2 linked regions of the Sus scrofa genome follow. The protein of the gene in region 2 interacts with the protein of the main gene of each other region in a pairwise test. Links are inferred from orthologs where the notes say so. Each region holds a gene or a part of one and is shown on either strand. Other genes may lie near its edges.

Evidence for each region. The genes of interacting proteins can lie anywhere in the genome.
Region 1: the proteins of CCDC136 (region 2) and TXLNA interact in binary tests that used the Homo sapiens proteins (3 or more experiments, as listed by UniProt). The two-hybrid records come from large-scale screens. The link is inferred for Sus scrofa from reciprocal best matches to the Homo sapiens genes CCDC136 and TXLNA.

What each region holds. Positions count from the first base shown.
Region 1 is NC_010448.4:88,657,104-88,664,520, reverse strand, and holds the start of TXLNA (alpha-taxilin), read right to left. Parts: upstream 4,471-7,417; 5' UTR 4,316-4,470; intron 4,085-4,315; exon of another isoform or gene 4,018-4,084; intron 3,780-4,017; 5' UTR 3,748-3,779; coding exon 3,570-3,747; intron 2,743-3,569; coding exon 2,413-2,742; intron 40-2,412; coding exon 1-39. UniProt on the Homo sapiens protein: May be involved in intracellular vesicle traffic and potentially in calcium-dependent exocytosis in neuroendocrine cells.
Region 2 is NC_010460.4:19,819,889-19,827,099, forward strand, and holds the start of CCDC136 (coiled-coil domain-containing protein 136), read right to left. Parts: upstream 3,850-7,211; 5' UTR 3,804-3,849; coding exon 3,746-3,803; intron 3,680-3,745; exon of another isoform or gene 3,407-3,679; intron 2,976-3,406; coding exon 2,868-2,975; intron 1,296-2,867; coding exon 1,044-1,295; intron 952-1,043; coding exon 877-951; intron 578-876; exon of another isoform or gene 94-577; intron 88-93; exon of another isoform or gene 1-87. UniProt on the Homo sapiens protein: May play a role in acrosome formation in spermatogenesis and in fertilization.

The DNA.
Region 1 (7,417 bases), on a different chromosome or scaffold from region 2:
GCGTGTTCAAGGTCTGCATCAGTAACGTGATCTCCTTTCCTGCAAAGCGCAGCAAGCAAAGGCATGTACCCCCTTTTCTGGGGGTCCCCTTCGGGCCTGGGCCCACTCTTCGGCCTCGGGGTAGCTCTTCCCTATCATGCTTTATGTTTCTCTTGGCTGACCTGGCTGCCTTCCCTGCTGGTCTGTGTGTTCTGTGAGGGCCGGGATCAACTCAGTTCTGCCTCAGTACTGCCCCTAGTGCCCAACCCAGAGGACGCGCTCAACTAATACTTGGTACACGAATGACTGCCTGTGAAACCTCTGTGGAGAGAACCAGGAGTGGAAGCAGGAAAACTGCTCTACCTACAGGTGAAAGAAAGACGTCCCACCTGTGAATTCAGCACCACTGCTTCAATGCAAGAAAGACCCTTCTGAAAAAGGACGCAAAAAGGAATAGTTCTCCTTGAGAACACTGAACTCTCGTCCACAGGGGTAGCCAATAGTGAGCTTCCCCCAATAAATAAGTAAAATAAAATGACTACACCTTCCAATACTTGATTCCATGATGAAAATAACCAAAAAAATATTCTTTAAATTAGGATGACAAGTAGGGGGTCGGGACTTGTGGTAGTAGGGACCAAGATGTGGGTATAATGTCTCCTAACTTTGATTCTTTCCTTGGCTTTTTTAGGGCCATACCTGTAGCACATGGAAGTTCCCAGGCTAGTGGCTGAATCGGACTTGTAGCCGCCGGCCTATACCACAGCCACAGCAACAACAGGTCCTGAGCCTGAATGTGCAATCTACACCACAGCTCACGGCAATGCGGGATCCTTTAACCCACTGAGGGAGGACAGGGATTGAACCCAAGTCCTCATGGTTACTAGTTGGGTTTGTTACCACTGAGCCAAGATGGGAATTCCCTAGCTTTGATTCTTTAACACACACTAACCCTCTACCTGCACCCAAGTCACTCCCCTTTAGGCTGTGCCTGAGTCAAAGAGAGGATCAGGAGTTCCTGTGGTGGCGCAGTGGTTAACGAATCCGAGTAGGAACCATGAGGTTGCGGGTTCGGTCCCTGCCCTTGCTCAGTGGGTTAATGATCCGGCGTTGCCGTGAGCTGTGGTGTAGGTTGCAGACGCGGCTCGGATCCCGCGTTGCTGTGGCTCTGGCGTAGGCCGGTGGCTACAGCTCCGATTCAACCCCTAGCATGGGAACCTCCATATGCCGTGGGAGCGGCCCAAGAAATAGCAAAAAAGCCAAAAAAAAAAAAAAGAGGATCAGCGTAGATAGCACAGCACTAGGCTCCTGAAGTGTCAACCTTGGGAGGCTCTGAAATCAATGCACAGACTGAAAATCACTAGCACACAGGCCAAATACAACCCACAGATGGGTTATGTTTGGCTTCTAGTGTATTAGTTGCCAACTGTAAAAAATCTAGAGATGTCACATAATAACCCTAGATTTCTGGCTTAAAAAACAAATGCCAGGAGTTACCGTCGTGGCGCAGTGGTTAACGAATCCGACTAGGAACCATGAGGTTGCGGGTTCGGTCCCTGCCCTTGCTCAGTGGGTTAACGATCCGGCGTTGCCGTGAGCTGTGGTGTAGGTTGCAGACGCGGCTCGGATCCCCCGTTGCTGTGGCTCTGGCGTAGGCCGGTGGCTACAGCTCCGATTCGACCCCTAGCCTGGGAATCTCCATATGCCGTGGGAGCGGCCCAAGAAATAGCAGCAACAACAACAACAAAAAGACAAAAGACAAAAAAAAAAAAAAAAAAAAAACCAAACAGAAAACAAAAAACAAATGCCAGCTACAGTTAGCCTGTAGTTTTCCATGCTATCGTCTCACCTGGGGCCAGGTGGCAGTCAAGCCTTTGAATAAAGCAGGCATTCTCTTGGTCCTCATGGGTGCCTCTGGCTAGCTTGGCTTTATTTGAGTTTTCAACCTCATCTAATCCAATTCTCTTATTGTGTAGAGAAGTGAAAACCAAGGACCAGAGAGGAGAAAGGTCTCGCCCAAGGTCACACAGCAAGTTAGAAGTGGTGCTGGCTGAAGAGGACTGACCACTCAGGCCTCCTTCTTTCCATCTTCTCAAAGAGAGCAGGTTAGACTTCGGTTCCCGCTTGCTCCCAGGCTAGAAGCCCTTGTGCAGTGAACCTGCACGTCTCTATGCTATGGTCCTGCAGCCCCTGCTCTCATTAAACTATGTAGGTTGAAAATGTTCTCAAATCAGGTTGTGATGATGGTTGTACAGGTATAAATGTAATAAACCCGCTGAATGAAAAAAACATTAGAAAAAACAAAAACAAAAAGTAAGTAGCTGCTCTGGAAGTAGTGTTTCCTCCAAATCCTGGCACAGCAGGCTAACCCAGGAATGTCAGATTCAAACTCCCTCCCCTCACCAGCCTCATAAGCAGCTGCCCTCTGCTCACCTAGACCTTTGGCTTTCTTCTTTTCCTGGGGCCTTCGGTGGTCTCGGTCTACGACCTCGTCACTTGCCCGGATCTCGTCTGCGCCCGGCTCCCCCTTGGAGGGCTCCTTCTCACCATTGACTACTGGGGTCTCTGGCTCAGGCTCCCCATTCCTTGAGGCATAGGTCCGGGACTTCTCTGCATCTTCAGGTTCACCAGGCTCACCCTGTGCCCCATCTTCGCCTGGGCCCCCCTGATTGTTGTCTATACAGTATGTACTGAGGATGTCTTCCAATTGGCGGCTCAACTCCTCTGAGACATCACGGAGGGCCCCAGTTTTGGCTTGTGCTCCTGCAGCAGGAGGGATGAGGGGCAGAGTCAGAAATAAGACCATTATGCCACTGGCTGGGATTTTTTCAGGCCCAAACTTACTAGTTTGGGTTAAATGTTACCTAACTTCTTTAAACCTCAGTTTTATTACTGATAAAACTATTTCTCACCTCTGCCCAACCATGCTTGTTATAAGAGAAATCAAGTAAGGAGACCACCCAACACAGAGGTGGCATCATGTAGCAGGAACTCAAGGTCTAGTCCACCTGCAAATGTCACTTCTTGCTATTAAAAAAGTTCCAAGAGTTCCCGTTGTGGTGCAGCAGAAACGAATCTGACTAGTATTCATGAAGACTCAGGTTCGACCCTTGGCCTCACTTAGTAGGTGAGGGATCCTGTGTTGCTGTGACTGTGGTGCAGGCTGGCAGCTGTAGCTCCAATTCGACTTGAGCCTGGGCACCTCCATATGCCTAGGGTGGGGCCCTAAGAAACAGAAAAAAAAGAAAAAAAAAAAAAAGTTCCAGAAATGCCTCAAATAGGAATAGCAGTTACCCACTGCTGAAAGTGGTGTTTTTGATTTGCTGGTTGGGTGCCTCATTTGACTGCCAACCTGACTTAATCCTGTCAGAAGCTTCTCTCAGGAGAGTTCTGTCCCTGTGCTTAGGGTGGGAGGCTCTATCAACTCCCCAGCGCAGAGTGGGCACTCAAGGACTCAGTGGTGTCCTCCCCTCATTCTACATTTCCTCCCTTCTGGATAAACAGTGGCCTTGGCTTCTAACCCCAGAAGCTAGACTGACGCACCATAAACTCCTCCCCCTGCCCATTGGAAAAGCAGAGCTGGCACACACCCTCAGCCTTCCCTGGAGCCTGGCTGGTGGAACCTTCAGCTTCTGTCGTGGGAGCAGACTGGCTGGGCCGCCCCTGGCCTCCCTCTGGTCCTGCTTCCGGTTGCCCCGGGGTGTTTTTGGGGTTGGAAGTGTGGCCAGATTGCTTGGCAGCCCCATTCTTTTTGTCTTGGTTCTTCATTGTTGTTTGCAACGTTAGGTTATGAGCAGAACCTATAGAAACAAATACACTTGCTATTTTCCAGACTTTAAACAATTCTTCGCAGCCTGGATCTGATATCTCCACACCGGACCCGCAAAGCTTCTTAAACCGACCGGCCTTCCTCGGATGGGAGCCAGTGGGGCTCCCTATCTCTGGTCGGTCAGGGAAGTCTGGTGTGCCCAACAGCAGGGGAGAGGAGGCCTCCTTTTTCCCCGAAGCTACTTCCCCGGCACAACCCAGCCCTCTCACCACAGCCCGTGCGCCGGACAGGCTCAGGCCCAGGGACTGACGTGGCGGGACGCTGGATTCCCGGTTCCTCCCCGCCCCCCAGGCCCCACGTGTGCCCACCCCCCCGCGCGCGCGCGCAGCCACCCACGCCCCGCGCGCCCTCCAGCCGCGCGCTCCGCCCGCGCATGCGCACAGGCCTCGGCCCCTGCACTCCAGCCCGAGTCCTCGTGCGGAATCGGCGTAATTCCCTGAACCGTCCGAAGGCGTCGGGCCCCGGGCCCTCTGCTTGCCTTGTACCCCTAACCGACGCAATACGCACCCCACCGCCGACGTCCCGACGGCTTCTCCTGCTCTGGCCTCTCACCGGAAACCCTGGGTAACTGCTGCCGGCAGAGCCGCCTGCTCGCGCCGCGGCCAATCAATAGCCCGCGCTCTCGCGGGGCTTGCTGGGAAAGTTGAAGCGAAGGCGGCCTCTGAGGCGGGTGAGTTGGGAAGGCGGAGTGGGGGGGTGGAGGGACAGAAAGGACTACATGTCCCTCCATGCACCGGGCTGATCCCGACTCCCAAGCTGCAACAGGGCTTTCGTTCTTGGAGCCCAGACCCAGGAGGTCCGAAAGCAGCCAGTCATTCTGCACTGGTACTCACGTCAACCTCCTTTCCATCACGCAGAAGTTATGATTCAGCTCCCAGAGCCTTGCGCCTGGCTGCTTTTTCCCCGCACACCTCAACCCCGTCCTTCCCTCCTGCTGAGGATATCTGTGACTATCTAGGAACTCTGAGGACGAGGGATAAAATACGGTGCTGGACATCAGATCTGTATTCCTTCCAGTCCTAATTTCATCACTAATTTGTTATGTGACCGGGCATTCTTTTCATTCCCAGAGCCTCGATTTCCGTATTCCTATAGAAAATTTTAATAACAGTAGTTCTTTGAATGCTAGCTTTCCCAGTAACTACTCCAGATAAATACTGTAGTATTTGTTACTCTCAATTTACACCTGTTAGGTGATTGTCCAAGGTCACATAGCTATTGACTGATTAGAGCAGTTTCAAAGCCAGGAAGTCTGGCACCCATCTCAACTACTGGACTACCCTGCTTCTTACTCAGGAAGAAATAATCACCATGATGCGCTTTCCTTGAGGGTGAGTCAAGGTAACTTGGAAAAGTAAATACTTAATTTCCCATCCCCATTTCCACCTTGAGTCCCTCTTTGGAAGGTGCTGAGGCCCTGTAAGGGGAAGTTTGGTTTCAGCAGATTCCTGAGCCTTTTCTTTGGCCCACTCCTACCAAGTCCCAGTTGCACTGGTGCTAAAGGGGAAAAATAGCCAAGCTTTTCTCAAAATGTGAAATCACAATTCTTTTTCCATTTGTCTGTAGACAACAGAATAAAACACAGCAACCTATGTGCTTGGATTTTTTTTTTTTTTTTTTTTTTTTTTAAGGGCTGCACCTGCGGCATATGGAAGTTCCCAGGCTAGGGGTCTAATCAGAGCAGTGGCTGCCAGCCTGCACCACAGCCATAGCAACGCCAGACCCGAGCCACATCTGTGACCTACGCTGCAACTCATGGCAATGCCAGATTCTTAACCCACTGAGTGAGGCCAGGGATCGAACCTGTGTCCTCATGGATGCTAGTTGGATTCTTTACCTCTGAGCCACAACAGGAACTCCTGTGCTTGAAATTTAATGCCTAAATGGTTTTGCTTTTATTTCCTGTCAATCCTCCTCATCCCCTTGGCCTTTTAAAAAAAATTATTAAAGCGTAGTTGATTTACAATGTTTCGTCCCCCTCTGCCTTTTTTGTTCCAGCTATACTTTTACTGTTTCCAGGATTTCCCAGGTTTTTGCAGGTGCCATACCATTGTCGATGAAAAAAATGTTACCTGCCATATCAGTAAACAAAGGATGTTGCAGCCATCAAGCCATCACATTACAGCTGCCCAAAGGTGAGCCCTGGGGGAACTCAGGGTAGAAACAAATTGCCTGCCATCTAGCAGTCTGTGCTGCAGTCACCCTCCCGCCCAAGCCCATAGAGCACCCTGAGGAGACTCAGGATGAAAAAGCACCTGATAGTGGCCCCAGTTAGCTGAGTTGCATATCAAAGGAAATAAGCCCAGACTCTTGCATCTTCCCATACACAGAAAACTGCTAAATTCCTTAACTTGAAGTATCAGGTTTTCGTTTCTTTTCTTTTTCTTTTTGTCTTTTAGGGCCACACCCTCGGCAAACGGAGGTTCCCAGGCTAGAGGCTGAATTGGAGCTGTAGCTGGCTGGCCTACACCACAGCTACAGCAGTGCCAGGTCTGAGCCATGTCTGTAACCTACACCACAGCTCACGGCAACACCGGATCCTTAACCCACTGACTGGGGCCAGGGATCGAACCTGCATCCTCATGGATGCTAGTCAGATTCATTTCCTCTGAGCCATAATGGGAACTCCTCAGGTTTTCTTTAATTAACAGTAATTTACCTGCTGTTTGTTGAAAAAAACTATTATAGATCCTGGCTTCTCCCTTACGTCTTCAGAACAGTCTCTCAGAAGCTGCATCCTGGACTTAAGTACTCAGTTTTGTCTGCCAAATAAAACAACTCTCAACGTTTAGGTTGTGCTTTTTTTTTTTTTTTTTCCCAGTCAGCACCACCTTCCAAAATGCCCTTCTGAGTAAAACAAAACCTTTTGGGGCCCACCCACTTCAAAGAGCCTTTGCAGTGCTCTGCAGTTCATCCTAGCTCCCTAGGTGTGGAGAGAGTTCTGTTACATCACTAGCGATGAGGTGTTGAAATTATTGCTTACAAGTCCCTGAAAATTGCAATAACTCTTGGCTAAATTCTCTAGTCCTAAAGCCCAGCATCAGTCTGGGGGTAGAGAAGGCAGAGAATATTTTATTTAAAAAAAATTTTTTTTGGCTGCCCGGCAGCATAGGGAGCTCCCAGGCCAGGAATCAAATCTGAGCCACAGCTGTCGCAACACTGGATCCTTAACCCGCTGTGCTGGGCGGGGACTGAACCCATGTCCCAGAACTCCTGGAATGCTGCCAACCCCCACTGCACCACAGCAGGACCTCCAAGAATGTTTTAAATTGTGCAAACTGGGCATTGTTTTAGGGCTCTTAAGATGGTAAATGTTTCCCCTGGTTGAGGAGACTTCTGGGCAGTACTCTTCCCTATCCCATAGGCAGCATTTACCAGGTTACGGTGAAAGGTAATGTTGGTATAATCATATAATGGAACTCAAGCTCTGAAAGGTTTGAGATCCAAGTCTCTCAAAACTGAGGCCCTGATTACTTTCAGAAAAGCATATGGTTAATGGCTTAAGGAGATTAACTATGAATCAGGCCTTGATGGATTTCTATAGGAAGAGGGTGTTCTAGGCAGAGATAAAGAACATACCAGGACAAGGTATGCACGGGGTGAGCAGTG
Region 2 (7,211 bases):
ACTTCTCTTTTGGCTTGATCTCAGTTCTCCCTGCCGTTTTCTAGGGCAGCTCCCCGAAACCTTCCAAAAGCCCACAGATGTAACAAAACCTGCCTCTTTATTTGGCGGTGCAGTGGAATGTGGGACGCCTGCCTTGCTGGTTCCCAGAGACAAAGGGATGTGGGCGTTAGAAGAAAGGGCTCCTGGGGCCACCAGCTCAGTCCTAGGTGGCAAGGGGCGAGGGGCGCGAGCTCATCCGCTTCCTTTAAAAGAGGCACAGCGGCCCCTCCAGTCACATCTCATTGGCTCGCTGCTCTGCCTTCCCAGGGTGCCCTTGGAGGACCAGGCCAAGGCAATCTGGTCTGAAATTAAACCCTGACCACCGACACCTGGCACTGACCAGAAAAACAAAGAAAAAGGGCTGCAGGTGTGAAGAAGAGCGATTGAGGAGAGAAAAAAGAGCTGCAGGGAAGGGGTGTGAAATGGGAGGGCAAGAAGGGGGGGCACAGAAGAGCCAGTTGGAGAGGCACGAAGAAAGGAAATGAGCTAAACAGGAGACTGAAGGATCCGGCGTTGCTGTGGGCTGTGGTGTAGGTCGCAGATGCGGGTTGGATCCCACGTTGCTGTGACTCTGGCATAGGCTGGCAGCTACAGCTCCGATTCGACCCCTAGCCTGGGACCCTCCATATGCCACGGGTATGGCCCTAAAAAAGCAAAAAATAAAATAAAATAAAAATTAATAAATAAAGAGGAGGCTGGAGAGATAGGAGCAGGGCAAGCACAGTAGAAGAAAATGAGGGGAACGTACTGATTTCGGTCCTATTGGTCTGCGTGCCTCCGCCAAGCCCTCAAGACAAAAGTACTTGGCGGGCCCTCCAGTCTGAGTGCAGGATTTACCTTGGAGCTGCTGGATCTGCTTGGTGAACACCTCTGCCTGCTGGGCGCTGGCCAGCCGCTCATCCTCCAGGAGCCCTGCAGTGAAGGGGGAGCTGGCGTCAGGCCTGGGATCCAGGGAGCACAGAGCCTTTGGGCCCCGGCCCTCGGGGTCCGTCACAGGCACTCACCCTGCAGCTCCAGCGAGTCATCCTCATGCTGCCCTGCCAGTTCCCGGGTCTCCTCCAGCTCTGCCACCAGCTGCAGCACCTGAGCCCTCAGCTCCTCCAGTTCGGTCTCCGTGAGGCTCAGGCCCCGGTGCTTACTGAGGGACAAGGAGCCCCCGCTTCCTCCCTTTTGCACCTGATCATCCTCTTCTTCCCCCTCTTCTTCCTCTTCCTCCTCCTCTTCCTCCTCGTAGAGGGCTGGGAGTAACACTTCCCCTAGGAAAGACCCCCCACCCCCAGCGAGTAAGAGCCAGCTTCCTGTCCTTGGTCCTTCCAGGGCCCTCTAGCATGCTGTCCCAGGGCAGAGATGGTATCATAGTGCCACCTGGTGTCCCCCAAGGAGCCTCTGGGCAGGACCTGCACACGGGACGAGTCCTCAGGTGTGAGGGTCGGGGTTGGAGGTAGCCCATCCCCCTCCCGGGCCCTTCCTGGACCAGTGCTGCACCTGGTGGCCTCCTAGTACTGCCTTTGGGCACACTGAGCAGCCAAGGGCCCGGCTGAGCCCCATGAGGCTCGCACAAGGATAGCTGCTTCCTCCAGCCTCGTCTCTGGGTAGTCAAGAAAGAGTCAGACACCGGGTGTGTCTTTAAGCCCAACAGGACAAGAATTACAGTTTGGGGGTTTGTACTAAGTTTACCAAGGATCCAGGTGGCTTGTGAGAAATTAGCCCTTCCATAATAAGAAAGCGTTGCCTGTCAGTCAGTAGAGAAAGAGAACAGCCAAAGAGAATCATCTGAAATGATTCTAAATGCTTTTCTGGACAAAGACGGGGCCCCTTTCAAATACATTCTATCGAATAGCCCTTTGGAAATTTTCTGCCAGGTCCACCTTTCTTTTCTGCTGTGTCAGGAGGTCTCCCCTCCTCTCCCTGAGTGTTCTGAGGCCCCTTCCCCTGCTGACCATAAGGCAGTTTTGGGGGGGAAGTCAAGGATTCTCCTCGTGAATAAAAGAAAGCCTGCCATTTTAATGCATTAAGAAATGGGGGTGTGCTGGTCCCCAGCCTCTGGCTGGTGAGCAACCCCTCTCCTTTGCTGCAATGCAGTTCCTCTCAATAGCAAAATCTTGCCTGGATGGTAAGAGCTTGCTTTGTTTTAAAATTCTCAATCTCTGGTCCATCTTTGTCTAATAATCACAGCCTAAGGTTTATCTGGGACCCCTTGTCTCATCCGTCCCTCTTGGAGCGTGGACGTGTGTATAGGGACCTGGGGACCCTACACAGAAAGTCCTGGAAATAGGACCAGCATCCTTCTAGGGGCCTCATTTAGGCAGCAAGTGCCAAGCTGTGTGGGTGTCGAGGGTGAGATGCGCGTTGGGAGCTTGGCCTTCTCGCCGGCCCCTCTCCCAGGCTCCCTCTTTCAGGCAGTAAGATAACCTAGAGAACCGAAGTCACAAGGCTTCCATTTGAAGTTAGTGGTGACACCAGAAAGACAATTCACATGCTCACTCCTCTGGCTTTTCAAAATAAGAGACAGCTTGGGATCTGGGTCGGGAGGCAGCGAGAACAAACCCCCTGCTGCACAGCTGCTTCAAATCTCTGTCCAAGGAGGCCTCTTTCTCTCTCTGGCAGCTCCCTGGGGACACACAACTTGGTTAGCTGGTGGTTAGGACCCCAAAGGGATGTACCCTGAACTTTCCCCAAAGCCCGAGCCCTGAGGAGGGTTGGAGGGGGCTGAGCTGAACTTGGGGAAGGGCTGTGTCCTGGCTCAGAGTTCTGGGGGTCAGAGGGAGGAAGGAGGAGAGGGAAGCTGGACGAGGTGGAGGGAAAGAAAGCTTTTGGGGAAAACTCACCCTCCATGGCTTGCATTCCACGCCTTTCCAGGGACCCCCAGCGTTGGCCTTTCTTCCTCTCACAACCGTCAGACACCTCGTAGGAGCCTAAAGTGGTCACTGTGGGTCCTGTAAGCAGGGAGAGAGGGGGCACTGTGGGATGCTAGGGGCGGCTGGGGGCTGGGGTGCAGCGGGGAGGGGAGGGGACATGCCTCCTAGCCCTTTGGAGCCCTGGGGTTTTTCATCCCAGTGGAAGTACTTGGCTCAGTCTGCCCAGGGCTGCGACTCTCCGCCCCAGGTGGCCCCTCAAGCGGGCCTGCGGGGACACCGCCCTGCACTGCCCAGCTTCTCTGCCCCCCAGTCCGTGCTCCTCTCCCTTGCACAGACAGAAAGGGCGTGTGTGTGTCTCTTTAGCCCAGAGGGGACAGGCAAGGATGGAAGAGGGCGGGAGCCAGCAAAGAGAAGAGGCTCAAAGGGTGAGGTGGAAGGGGAAGGGGTGAGGGGACGCGTGCGGGAAGGGGGTCTGGACTGGGGCCGCTGCCGTCCATTCCAGCTCTCACTGGACTTCGTCCTCCCCACTCCGCCCCGCGCTCCGAAGCCTTCAGGGTCCGAGCAGGTGCGGGGTCTGGAGCCCCCAAGGCAAAAAGCACCGTCAGGCTGGAGAGACCAGATGGAGTGGGCTCAGGGGAGGGACTGCCAGGGATGATGCGGCCGGTGTGGGGAAGAGCCAGCCCGGAAAGATGGAGCCGGAGCCCGGGCTGGGGGCAGGATGGAGGAGGAAGACTTAGGACGGAGAGGTGGGGAGCAGCGGAGGGGGAGAGGACCTGGGGGTCTGGAGGGAGGAGAGATGGAGAAGAGGAAGGAGCGGCGGTGGCGAAGTGAGGGAGGGGCGCTCTGACCTGGACCCGGGCAGCTCCAGCCCGCGGCGCCCGCGCCGGCCCCGGCGCCCGCCTCCATGGCCGCTCGCGCCGCCGCCGCCGCCCGGAGCAGCCGCCGCCGCCGCCGCCGCCAGGCCGGGGACCGGAGCCGGGTGCGCAGGGGAAGGAAGGCCGGGCCGGCCGAGGGGGCGGGGCCTGGCCAGGCCACCTGACGCCGCCGCCGCCGCCGCCCGGAAGCCGGCCCTGCACCCCAGCTCCCGGACCCGGTGCAAGCGCGTCGCCAGACACGCCCCGAGGCCCGCGCCGAGGGAGCGACCGGCTCCCCTGGTCTGGCGGTGGGTCCTGCCGGGAGGCGGCTGCGTGGGGGCACCCCTCTGCGCCAAGTGCCAGGGCCCGGTCCTGCTCGGCGGTGGGGAAGGAAAAGCAAGCACCAGGAGAGCCAAATCCTCCTGGCCTGTTTCCTCCAAACGCGCGGATGCTCACACGCCCCTTGCTCCCCACGGCTGAGCGGCACCCTCCACCTGGGCAGTCAGCGCAGACCCTCCGGCCGCCAGCCTCAGCCTCAGGGCTGCTCCAGGGCTGGAGGAGGGAAACCGAAGCCAGGATACTTCAACTGCGGGCCTTGATCTCTCTGTTGGCCTTGCGCCCTCCGCCAAGCCACAAGCAGGGACCTTCTTAGAAGGGGCCGCTCCGGGACCCCACGCAGCCCTTAGTGTCGAAGACCTTTCTCCATTGCCTGCCTTCCCACCGGGCCCCAGGCCCGGTGGTCTGCAAACCACAACCCCTACTCACCTAGCCTCTGCAGCTGTTTAGAGTGGGCACTGCCGATTTTCACTCTCATAGAAGGGAGATGTGAAAGCCCAGATAGCTTATTTCACTCAACCGCTCCTTCAAGGAACTTCTTCCAAGTGCCAGATTTTGGCGAACCAATTGGGCTCACGCCTCTGCAGGTCTCAGCCAGGAAAGAAATGGGTACACTTGGGAACCCGGAGGTTCCAGCACATCTGGAAAATCACTGGGAGATTCCTAAACCAGGGACAGTCCCTTCTCTTGCGCATCCACTTACAAGGTCATGGGCATATACTGTCTGGATCACGCCCACCGGCTCCCAAGTTCACAAGCCCTCCATATTCCTCAGGAGAGAAGCCCTTCTTTGCCTCGACATCCCCTACGTACCCTTAAACACTCAGCTGGGAGTCATCTCTTGGCAGCCATTCCCGACTCACCACCCAGCCAAGCCATTAGATGCTCCTGCTGTGCTCCGACCCCTCCCCCTTCCCTCTAAGCAGCACCAGTCACTCTAGGTTGTCAAGGTCATGTTCTGACTTTCCTGTCAGCCCAGTGTTTGGAAGACCAGGAAATTGCCTTAGTCGTTTTTGTATCTCCAGTATCTAAATCATTGACACAGAATAAATGAGTGAAGTTAAATCTCCTAATTAATGCTCTGCTTATCATTTAACGTATGATCCCACACTTAAGGTGTTCAGTGTTGCCTATTAACAATAGTATTGGAGTTCCCGTCGTGGCGCAGTGGAAAGGAATCCGGCTAGGACCCATAAGGTTGTGGGTTCAATCTCTGGGCTCGCTCAGTGGGTTAAGGATCCGGCATTGCCGTGAGCTGTGGTGTAGGTCGAAGATGCAGCTGGGATCTGGCGTTGCTGTGGCTGTGGCGTAGGCTGGTGGCAACAATTCCGATTCGACCCCTACCCTGGGAACCTCCATATGCCATAGGTGCAGCCCTAAAAAGACAAAAGACACACACGCAAAAAAAAAAAAAAAAAAAAAAAAAAACCCAATAATGTTGCCTATAAATCTCTCTCTCTCCTCCCCTCCTTCCTCCCTCTCATACCTCCAGCCTGGTATGTGCTCCGAGAGATGGTGAGCACAGATCAAGATGTTTCATTGGCTCCTCAGAGGACTGAGCTCCCCTCCAGAGCCTGGGATCAAGGCGATCCAGTCTGGAGAAAGGCTGTCGAGCAAGCCCACCCAGAACATCTGCTGCAGACATCAGGCCTGTCCAGACTTGGGGAGCAGGGCAGTTTGTCAGGGATGATGGAAAGGAGCTGGTGTTGTGTAGGGCTCTGGGGAATGATGAAGTCTAATCCTAGAAGGAGAGTGACTGGTCTGCCCCAGCGCAGCTCCTGGTTCTGGCCGAACTACCAAGGTCAGTTAGCAGTAGACCTTGGGCGCTGACCTCTTGGCTGATGGAAGGGAGGAAGTTGTCAACTGTAACATCCGGGGGTCCAAGCTTTCCTCGGGGAGCTCTGATCCGGAGTATTAGGACTAATCTCTCCCTGGCTCCAGAGGTGCAGGTCACCATTCACCCTTCATCTGGGGAGTGTTCAGGAGAGACCAGAACCAGTCTTTTTTCGGGACCCAAATGTGGTTAAACTAGGCCAGACCGGTACAGGGTTGAGGGTGAGAGTAAAGATAGGAAGCCGAGGGAAAGGGCTTAGCAGGTAAAAGGGGGGGAAGTGGACTGTGGTCCAAGGATGTATCTTTGAAGGGCTAGGAATGCTGGGGACCCCAGCCAGGTGATCAGCTTAGGGGGATGATCTGAATTAATCCTTGTAATCCCCGGACCCAGGACTCAGCCTCCGTCCTAATCCCATCCCAGCAGATCGTCTTCTCTGAGGATGATGCAGCCATTTATCCCCCTTGACCCTTATTTCTAAAGGCCTAGATCCTCTCATTAAAAAGAAAAAAAAGGGAATCTTTTAAAGATGCAAAGAGTACAGTACAGAAAATAACATTAAAATTAATATCCATGTGCTCACCGCTGAAATCCAACAATTGTTCATTTCTTGCCACATTTGATTCAGAGACAGCCCTTCTATTTATGGTCTTACAGTTTTACATAAATATATATATCCACAAACAAAGTACTGATTTGTATGTTTTAAAAATATATTTAAATTGGAGTTCCCGTTGTAGCTCAGTGGTTAACGAATCTTACTAGGAACAATGAGATTGCGGGTTCAATCCTTGGCTTCACTCAATGGGTTAAGGATCTGGCGTTGCTGTGGCTGTGGCGTAGGTCAGCGGCTACAGCTCCGATTAGACCCCTAGCCTGGGACCCTCCATATGCCATGGGTGCAGCCCTGGAAAAAAGACAAAAAAAAAAAAATATATATATATATATGTATTTAAATGGAGTTATACTGTACACATTCTTTTGCAAACTTTCTTTTTCTCCTAACTTTTTTTTCACTTACCCATGCTGTTTCATATAACTACAGTTTGTGAATTTTAACTGCTGAATACTCTTTCATTGAATATACCATGATTTATTTATCCATTCTTCTGCTAATGGGCATTTAGGGTGTTTCCAATTTTTCTATATTATACACAGTGCTGTGATGGACAGGGCTGGGCAGGCCTCCTTGGCATATACGTAAGCACCTCTCCAAGGCAGATAGATACCTAGAAGTAGAATTTCATAGAATCTGTACAGCTTAAACTTTACTAGATATGACTAAATTTTTCT